Linked DNA regions of Coturnix japonica. The protein of the gene in region 1 purifies or fractionates together with the protein of each later gene. This does not show direct contact. Links are inferred from orthologs where the notes say so. Each region holds a gene or a part of one and is shown on either strand. Other genes may lie near its edges.

Evidence for each region. Proteins that work in one complex are often made in the same cells at the same time.
Region 2: the proteins of PPP1CA (region 1) and WDR92 purify together in Homo sapiens (affinity purification with mass spectrometry; 6 studies listed by BioGRID and IntAct, counting the BioPlex papers as one, with this or other methods). This does not show direct contact. The link is inferred for Coturnix japonica from reciprocal best matches to the Homo sapiens genes PPP1CA and DNAAF10.

The regions. Positions count from the first base shown.
Region 1 is NC_029520.1:170,003-173,747, forward strand, and holds PPP1CA (serine/threonine-protein phosphatase PP1-alpha catalytic subunit), read right to left. Parts: upstream 2,842-3,745; 5' UTR 2,692-2,841; coding exon 2,532-2,691; intron 2,139-2,531; coding exon 2,007-2,138; intron 1,927-2,006; coding exon 1,696-1,926; intron 1,302-1,695; coding exon 1,197-1,301; intron 1,124-1,196; coding exon 900-1,123; intron 729-899; coding exon 594-728; intron 512-593; coding exon 401-511; 3' UTR 213-400; downstream 1-212. Other genes in the region: cell cycle checkpoint control protein RAD9A, read left to right, coding at 39-137. UniProt on the Homo sapiens protein: Protein phosphatase that associates with over 200 regulatory proteins to form highly specific holoenzymes which dephosphorylate hundreds of biological targets.
Region 2 is NC_029518.1:373,524-377,266, reverse strand, and holds the start of WDR92 (WD repeat-containing protein 92), read right to left. Parts: upstream 2,859-3,743; 5' UTR 2,829-2,858; coding exon 2,640-2,828; intron 2,556-2,639; coding exon 2,455-2,555; intron 2,385-2,454; coding exon 2,254-2,384; intron 1,944-2,253; coding exon 1,842-1,943; intron 1,248-1,841; coding exon 1,132-1,247; intron 946-1,131; coding exon 811-945; intron 726-810; coding exon 628-725; intron 379-627; coding exon 171-378; 3' UTR 1-170. Other genes in the region: RNA-binding protein PNO1, read left to right, coding at 2,925-3,095, 3,170-3,319, 3,611-3,694. UniProt on the Homo sapiens protein: Key assembly factor specifically required for the stability of axonemal dynein heavy chains in cytoplasm.

The DNA of each region.
Region 1 (3,745 bases):
ACGGCCCCCTCACCCTGTGTCTTTTCACCCCCCCAAAGTTCCGCTCGTTGTTTTTTGGCTCCGTGCTGACACCGGGGGGGCCTGGCCCAGCCCCCAGCCAGGAGGTGCTGGCAGAGGACAGCGATGCCGAATGCTGAGAGCCCCCATTGCGATGCCATGGCGCAGCAGCTGGCACTGCCTGGCCACGTAGGGTGTGATCCTAAAGCCACATCTTAAGACCCATTACAAGTTTATTCCCCAAAAAAAGCCTCCTGCCCTGCCTTCACTGCCAACTGAGGGGCGGGTCCTGCCCCAGAGGGTACATTTGGTACAGTAGAAAGCGGCAAGGGCAGGATCTGACAAATAAAAAAACGAATGGAGAAAGGAGCGACCTGGTGCTGGGGCTGCTGGCGGTGGACACTCACTTCTTGGCTTTGGCAGAGTTGCGTGGTGGGGTGACGGGGCGGCCAGCAGGGTTCAGCCCACTGAACTGCCCGTACTTGCCCTTGTTCTTGTCTGCTGGTTTCAGAATCTGCAAGGAAGTGAAGGGTGAGTGAAGGGGCTGCAGGCAGAGCCCTGTGTGCTGCCCCCTCCCCGGCAAAGCCCCAGCTCACTTGGAAGGAGCACATGAGGGTCTCGTCCACACTCATCATGGCTCCTGCGTTGTCAAACTCCCCGCAGTAGTTGGGTGCAGAGAAGAGGGTGACAAGCTGGCGTTTGGCAAAGAACTCGTAGCCGTCCTCCACCACCTGTGGGGCAGCAGCACTCATATCTCCCTGTTCTCTGTCCATAGAGCCCACCAACTCCCCCAGGGGGCAGCATCCCCTTCAAAAGAGCCCAACCACATCCTCAAGAGCAAATGGCCCCTCCTGGGAAAAGCTCCACCGTTATGGAGCCCAGGTGAGGCCCGACCCCATTACCTGGTGTGCCCTGCAGATGAGATCGAGGTCATGCTTGTGCAGGAACTTGGCCACCACCTCGGCCCCAAAGGTGAAGGACACTCCTCTGTCATTTTCACCCCATCCTAAGACATCTTTGTCAGGGTCAGACCACAGGAGATCACACAGCAGGCCCTGGTCGGGTACGTCCGTGGGTCGCATGATGCGCCGGATCTGTTCCATCGACTGCAAGTCAGGAGACAGCCCTGCACAGGAGTGTCAGGTTATGCTGTGTGGCGGCCTTTGGACCCAGGCGGCAGCCCCCAGCCCTGTGCCCACCTCCGTGACAGCAGAATATCTTCTCATCCACAATTGCTGCAATTGGTAAACAGTTAAAACAATCGGTGAAGGTTTTCCACAGCTTGATGTTGTATCGCCGCTTGCCTGTGAGGCAGCGGGGTGGGTGCTCACAGGAGCCCTTCATGTGGGCCATGTTCCACCCTCCCCACCCTCTGGTGTATCACAACACACACAGGGCAGCACTGAACCCTCCAGGGGGCTGGGGGGGTGGCCGTGGAGGTGGCTGGGATGGGGGTATGAGGTCTGCAGGAGGAGGTAGCTGGGATGGGGCATAAGGTCTGCAGGAGGAGATGGCTGGGATGGGGGCATAAGGTCTGCAGGAGAAAGTAGCTGGGATGAACATAAGGTCTGCAGGAGATGGGAAGAGCTGCAAATGGGGATGGAAGGGGGGACTTTGGGCTGGCTGTATCATATGGGGTTGGCAGTGAGGTGACAAGGCAGTCCCGTTTGTCAGTAGTGGGGCCGGTGCAGCACTCACACTCATCATAGAAGCCGTAGATGCGGTTGATGCTGGCACATTCGTGGTTGCCACGCAGCAGGAAAAAGTTCTCCGGGTATTTAATTTTGTAGGCCAATAGAAGACAAATTGTTTCTAAAGACTGCTTTCCTCTGTCAACATAGTCACCAAGGAATAGGTAGTTGCTCTCTGGTGGAAAGCCTCCATATTCAAAGAGCCGAAGCAAGTCATAGTATTGTCCATGGATGTCGCCTGTAAGAAGATCGCGGGGGACACGCGGTGACGCTGGCTCCCAGCCCGCCCCCTTCCCCTCCCCCCGGCTCGTCGCTCACCGCAGATCTTGAGCGGAGCCTCGAGCTCCAGCAGGATGGGCTGGCTCAGGAATATCTCCCGTGACTTCAGGCACAGCCCCCGGATCTCGTTCTCTGTCAGCTGCACGTTCTTCCCAGGCCGTGAGCCTTGCACTGTGCGGGGGTGGCTTTCAGCAGAGCCCACTCCACCCCCGGAGCCCGCAGAGCCGCCGTGCCCTAACAGTCCCGCACTAACGCACGGCCCTCCCGGTGCCCCCGGCCCTCTGCAGCCACCCCCCATCCGCCCCGATCGCCCGCAGCCCCCCTCATTCCCACAGCCCCCAGCGGCTCCCACCGCCCGGCTCCCCCCGGCCCCCCGCTGCCCCGATACCCCCCGCTGCCCCACAGCCCCACAGTTGGACCCCCAGAGCCTCGCACGGCCCCCGTTTCCCCGCAGGCCCCGGCCCGCAGCCCCGTTCTCCAGCCCCTCCTTGGCGGCACAGCGCCGGTCCTTCCCTCCCCTAGCGGCTCCCGAGGCGGTCCGGGAGCACTAGGCCCATCGCTCACCCTCCAGGAGGCGGCCGATGATGGAGTCGAGGTTGAGCTTCTCGGTATCCGCCATGGCCGCCGGACGCTGCTTCCCCCCCCCGCCCTGGCCCGCCCCGGTCCCGGCCCCGCGGCCATAGAGAGCGGCCGGGGCGAGCGGCGGGTGGCGAGAGCGCCCCATGGCGGATGGGAGGCCGCGGAGGCGCGTGGGGGCTGCGCGCTCCCACGAGGCGGCGCCGTGTCGTTCCCCGTGCCGGCCGGTTGCCCGGCGGCTGTTGCCGTTGTCAGCCTCGCGGCGCGTGGGGAGCCCCGCGGGGACGTGTGCCGAGAGACACGGTGCTGCCACCGGCTCCACCCGCCTCACTTGTGCCCCTCGTGCCGCCGTGCCGCCCCCACGTGCAGTACGAGCCGCGCGGTGCCGGCACAGCCTGGCCCGTTGCCCGCGGTGACACCGGTGACATTTCAGCCCCGCGGTGTCAGCTGCGCCGCTGTCCCCGAACGACCCCGGCAACTGTCCCCGCTCCGCTGCCGGCTGCGTGTCCCGCTGCTCGTGTCCCGCCTCCCCGTGTCCCCCGATCCGTGCGGCCCCACGTCGCGGTGTGCTCACATCCCGTGTCTCCGTGCCCCGGCTCCTCCGATCTACCCGTCCCCACCCCGACGTTGCTCTGTCACCACGTCCCCCACTCTCAGATCCCCCTTTTCCCGTATCTTCCCTTATCTCCGTATCCTCCGATTTACCCGTCGCTACGTCCCCGTGCCTCGTATTCCCAAATCCCCGTGTCCCCGGATCCCCGTAACCCCACAGATCCTTCTCCCCGTGCTCCCTCGTTCCCCATCTCCATTTCCCCATACGCCCCAGATGTTCTCATGCCCTCGCATCCTTGTCTCCACGCCCCATAGTTCCCTCACACCCCACACCTGATACCCCGCACCCCTGAATCCTGGTGCCCGCACACCCCGCACACCCCCCATTCCCTCTCTCCCCCCCTTCCCCGCCCCGCCCCGCGCCCTCCCCCGGGGACGCCCTTCTGCCACCGAAGGCGCCTCCGCCGCCGGTGCAGAACGGGCACGGCTCCGCGGGCACCGCCGCCACGACCGCCCGAAAGCGACAGCGACCGCCGGTGGGTGCAGGCGGCGCCCGCTCCACGCGTGTCCGAGGGTGTTGGCGTGCGCCGTGCTGCGCGTGTCCGGCGGTGAAATCGCGGGCAGCCGTTGCGCTAAGCCGGGGGACGTGC
Region 2 (3,743 bases), on another chromosome or scaffold:
AACAACTCTTAAGTGCATGTATCTCAACTTTCAATAGAAAGATCTGGTCTCTATTTCCTTAATCCAGTTCTAAAAAGGGAGAAATTAGATTAAAGACAATAGGTCCCTCCCTCCCGTATGTACAGACGTCAAACTGTATTGCTTTCTCATCAGCAATCCCAGTTTTCCTGTCACACTTTGTTAAGCTTAGTAACTATCAGTACCCTCACAGTTTGGTCAAAGGCACCACAAACACACAGCCCCTTTTTGTCGGGGCTCCAGTCCAGGCTGGAAATGGGCTGTGTTGACAGAGTCACGTTCTGCAAGAGGCTGACAGAACCTGCCACCCCCATCTCAGCTCCTTCCGAGTCCTTCTTTGAGCGCTGAGCCGGGTACTCGCTGGCAGAAAGGAAAGGAAAACTGAGACAAACAGGAATCTCATCCTGCTCTTAAAAGACAGCACAGAAAGGTCTCCTCTGTTCTCAAGATAAGACAAATGTCTTCAAAATAGCGAGCCATCATATCCATCATATCTGAGCTTGGAAGTGAGTCCCCACGCACCATCTTTACAATGATTCTTTCTTTAAACAATAAACAGTTGTTTTGGTTCCTTATTCCCCTGTTATAGAGCAGACAGTGATCACTTACTATTTCCAGAGATGAAGGCTCCCAGCTCCTCCGCTCGTCATAAACACATCCCTGTTCTGCGGGAGGTGCCGAACCTGCCAGATGGTGGATTTGTGTGCCTAGGAAACAACCAGCATTGGACAAAAGTTCTGTACAAACTCCTGTACTACATGTTGCTAAAGGAATGATCCATCTCCCCATTACCTTCTCTGAAACAGAAGCAAAACCTTTAGTTGGGTGCTGAGTCCTCATATCGAAGACATGGAATTTTCCCTCCAGTGACGTGGCCACCAGCTTGTTCATGTTCACATCTTTCCTGTCAAACTCCACACTGCAAACCTGCAAAGAGTGAAACCAATACGTTCAGCCACTGCTACAAGCATATATTTGTGAGTGTGATTTGCAGACACGTATCTAATCATTGGTTATTCTTACAACAGCTTCACCAACTCGGCAATAACGCGATTGCCTGTAAACAGACACACACCACAGCTGGAATGAAGCCCTGCTTCCACAGCACCTTACCCCGTTCTTAATGTTGGTCTCCCATCGCAGTGACATGGCTTTTAAGTCAAACAACTTAATGTCCCCATTGTCGTATCCAGCACATACTACACGTTCCTCTTGATTGTAAGCATTGCCTGGACACAGAGACAGAATTGATCACAACACAGAAACCCCTCTTAGGCTGTAAATTTGAGACCTCTTAAGTCAGCAATTTCAACTTAGATTTATGCCAGCAAAGCATCATATAGTAGGATTTAATGAATTGAGAGCACAGAGTTTGGGATGGACATGGCCTGGGCTCAAGCATCCTGAATTCAAGAGCACAAGTTAAGCATCTCTGCTGTCTTTCGTTAGCTCTGGGGATTGTCTCTTACATTAATGTCTTAATGTCATCAGCAGATATTGGTTCTCCATGCACAATCACAGTTAGACCCCTCCAGGGCAAAGTGGTTTCTTTGCTTTTACATTCCTAGACATAGAAATGTTCAATTCCCACACTAGGGCTGTAAAAATGCCTAAGAATAAAGCTTGTCTGTGAAGTGATTGAGCAGAGATGGTAAGAAAACAATGCCTGAGCCAACTACCACCAAACGTGATGGAAAGACAGCCTTTAAAACACAGTGCAAAGACACAGATGTGATAACACCGAACAACAAACCCTGCCTTCAGTGGTTTGATTACTGTCAACACGCAGTGACATTACAGGGGGCTGTTATCAGACTGGTTACCAAAGGCCACCGTCCAGCAGTCCCTCTTGCTCTCTCCCTGCGCAGGTTCCATGTTGGCAACAGGAGTTTCCTTCTGCCGAGGGTCCCACACCTTCACAGTTCCTAAGGAAAGCAAAGCCATCAGTGTTACAGATGCACTGATGCACCACTCTTGGTTTCCCAGGGAAAGGCAGCCTGACGCCTCCAGACTATGTCAGTGTATAGGAAGAAATGAAACATAATACAAACAGAAAAGCACAGGGAAAGTATAAGATGTCTAGCTGCTATTTTGTATTTGTTCTGCTTTATGTTCCTCCTCTCCAGCTCCCAAAGGAAGCAGAGGAGGCTCATCCCAAAGGGCCGCCCTCCATTTCGGTGCCCACAGCCTGTAGTTCAGGGATGTCACTGAGCAGCTCAGCTCTCTCCCACTCACCATCCCGGCTGCCTGTCACAATTTCTGGGGCACCTTCCCCAATTCCGAGGCCTCCGACCCCATCGATGCAGTTAATGATTTCCTTGTGACCTTTCACGGAGTACACGGGGACTTCAGGAGCTTCTAAGTTCCTATGTGAGAAACAGATAACACAGCGTTGCCTTCAGTAGCCAGGAGCGCTGTAAGGAATCACACACCCACCAGATGCTGAGGCATCCCGCGAAGTCCCCTGTCGCCAGGTGCCGTTGCTGCAGGGAGGCTGCCCCGAAGGTGGCACATTTTATCGGTTTGGCCTTTTCGATCTGCAGATAAAGGACACGGTCGGCACCGTATGAAGCGTTAAACCCCTCGGCCTACGAGGTGCCGCCCCGCATCGCCCCGCTCACCTCGCTCAGCAGCAGCAGCCGCCCGGCTCGCAGCTCGTACAGCTGGATGAGGCCGGTGCCTCGCGGGGCGCTGCCGAGGCACAGCAGGCGGGCGCTGCGCGGCACCCACTTGCAGTCGAACACGGTGTAAGTCAGCGGCTGCTGCACGTGAACCACCACCTGCGGCCGGTCCAGCCCCGCCGCCGACATAACGAGCGACGGCAGCGACGCGGATAACGCAGGAAGCGGAAGGGACGGCGGGACGGGCAGGAAGTGGCGGTGGCTTTTCCGGCGGAGGGCCACGCTATGGAGTCTGAAGCGGATGAGAACGGGAGCGGCTTCACCAGCGTGGCTTCCAAGCGCGGCAGGAGGAAGCGGAGAGCGGCGGCTGCGGAGCCGATGGAGGCGGTGGATGCGGCGGGGCCGCAGCCCAGCAAGAGACCCGCCTTCCCACCGCTGCCCGCCGCGGCCATGGGGGTGAGCGCGGCGCCGAGGCGGAGGGATGGGGCGGACGGGCTGCACGTGTCCGCTCAGCGCCCATCTGTCCGCAGGTGGGGAAAGGGGAGGTGAGGAAGGTGCCGGTACCGGCCAACAGGTACACGCCGCTGAAGGAGAACTGGATGAAGATATTCACGCCCATCGTGGAGCACCTGCAGCTCCAGATCAGGTTTAACTTAAAGACCAGGAACGTGGAGATCAAGGTGAGCGCTGTGCTGTGTGTCCTCACGTTCCTCTCATCCCTCGTGTTTCATTGAAACCCGCCCAACCGGGCCTTGGGCACCTCCAAGGCACCCACAGCTCTCTGGGCAGCCTGTTGTCTTAAGCACAACATACACTACTGGTCTGCGCTTTCAGTAGAACACAATGCGGAGGTGGCATTACACGAACGTGGCTTTGGCTTTCTTTTATACAGCCAGCCTTTATCTCACTGACTTTCCAAGTCCTGATTCCGTTTGCCTGATAACATAGAAACGTATCTTCTCGTTCTGCAGACCTGTGCTGAGACCAAAGACCTCAGTGCTCTGACCAAAGCAGCTGACTTTGTCAAAGCCTTCATACTCGGCTTCCAGGTGGAGGTGAGTCTCCCAGCGGCCGGGTTGTGCTATTGCTCAATATCTTCAAGCA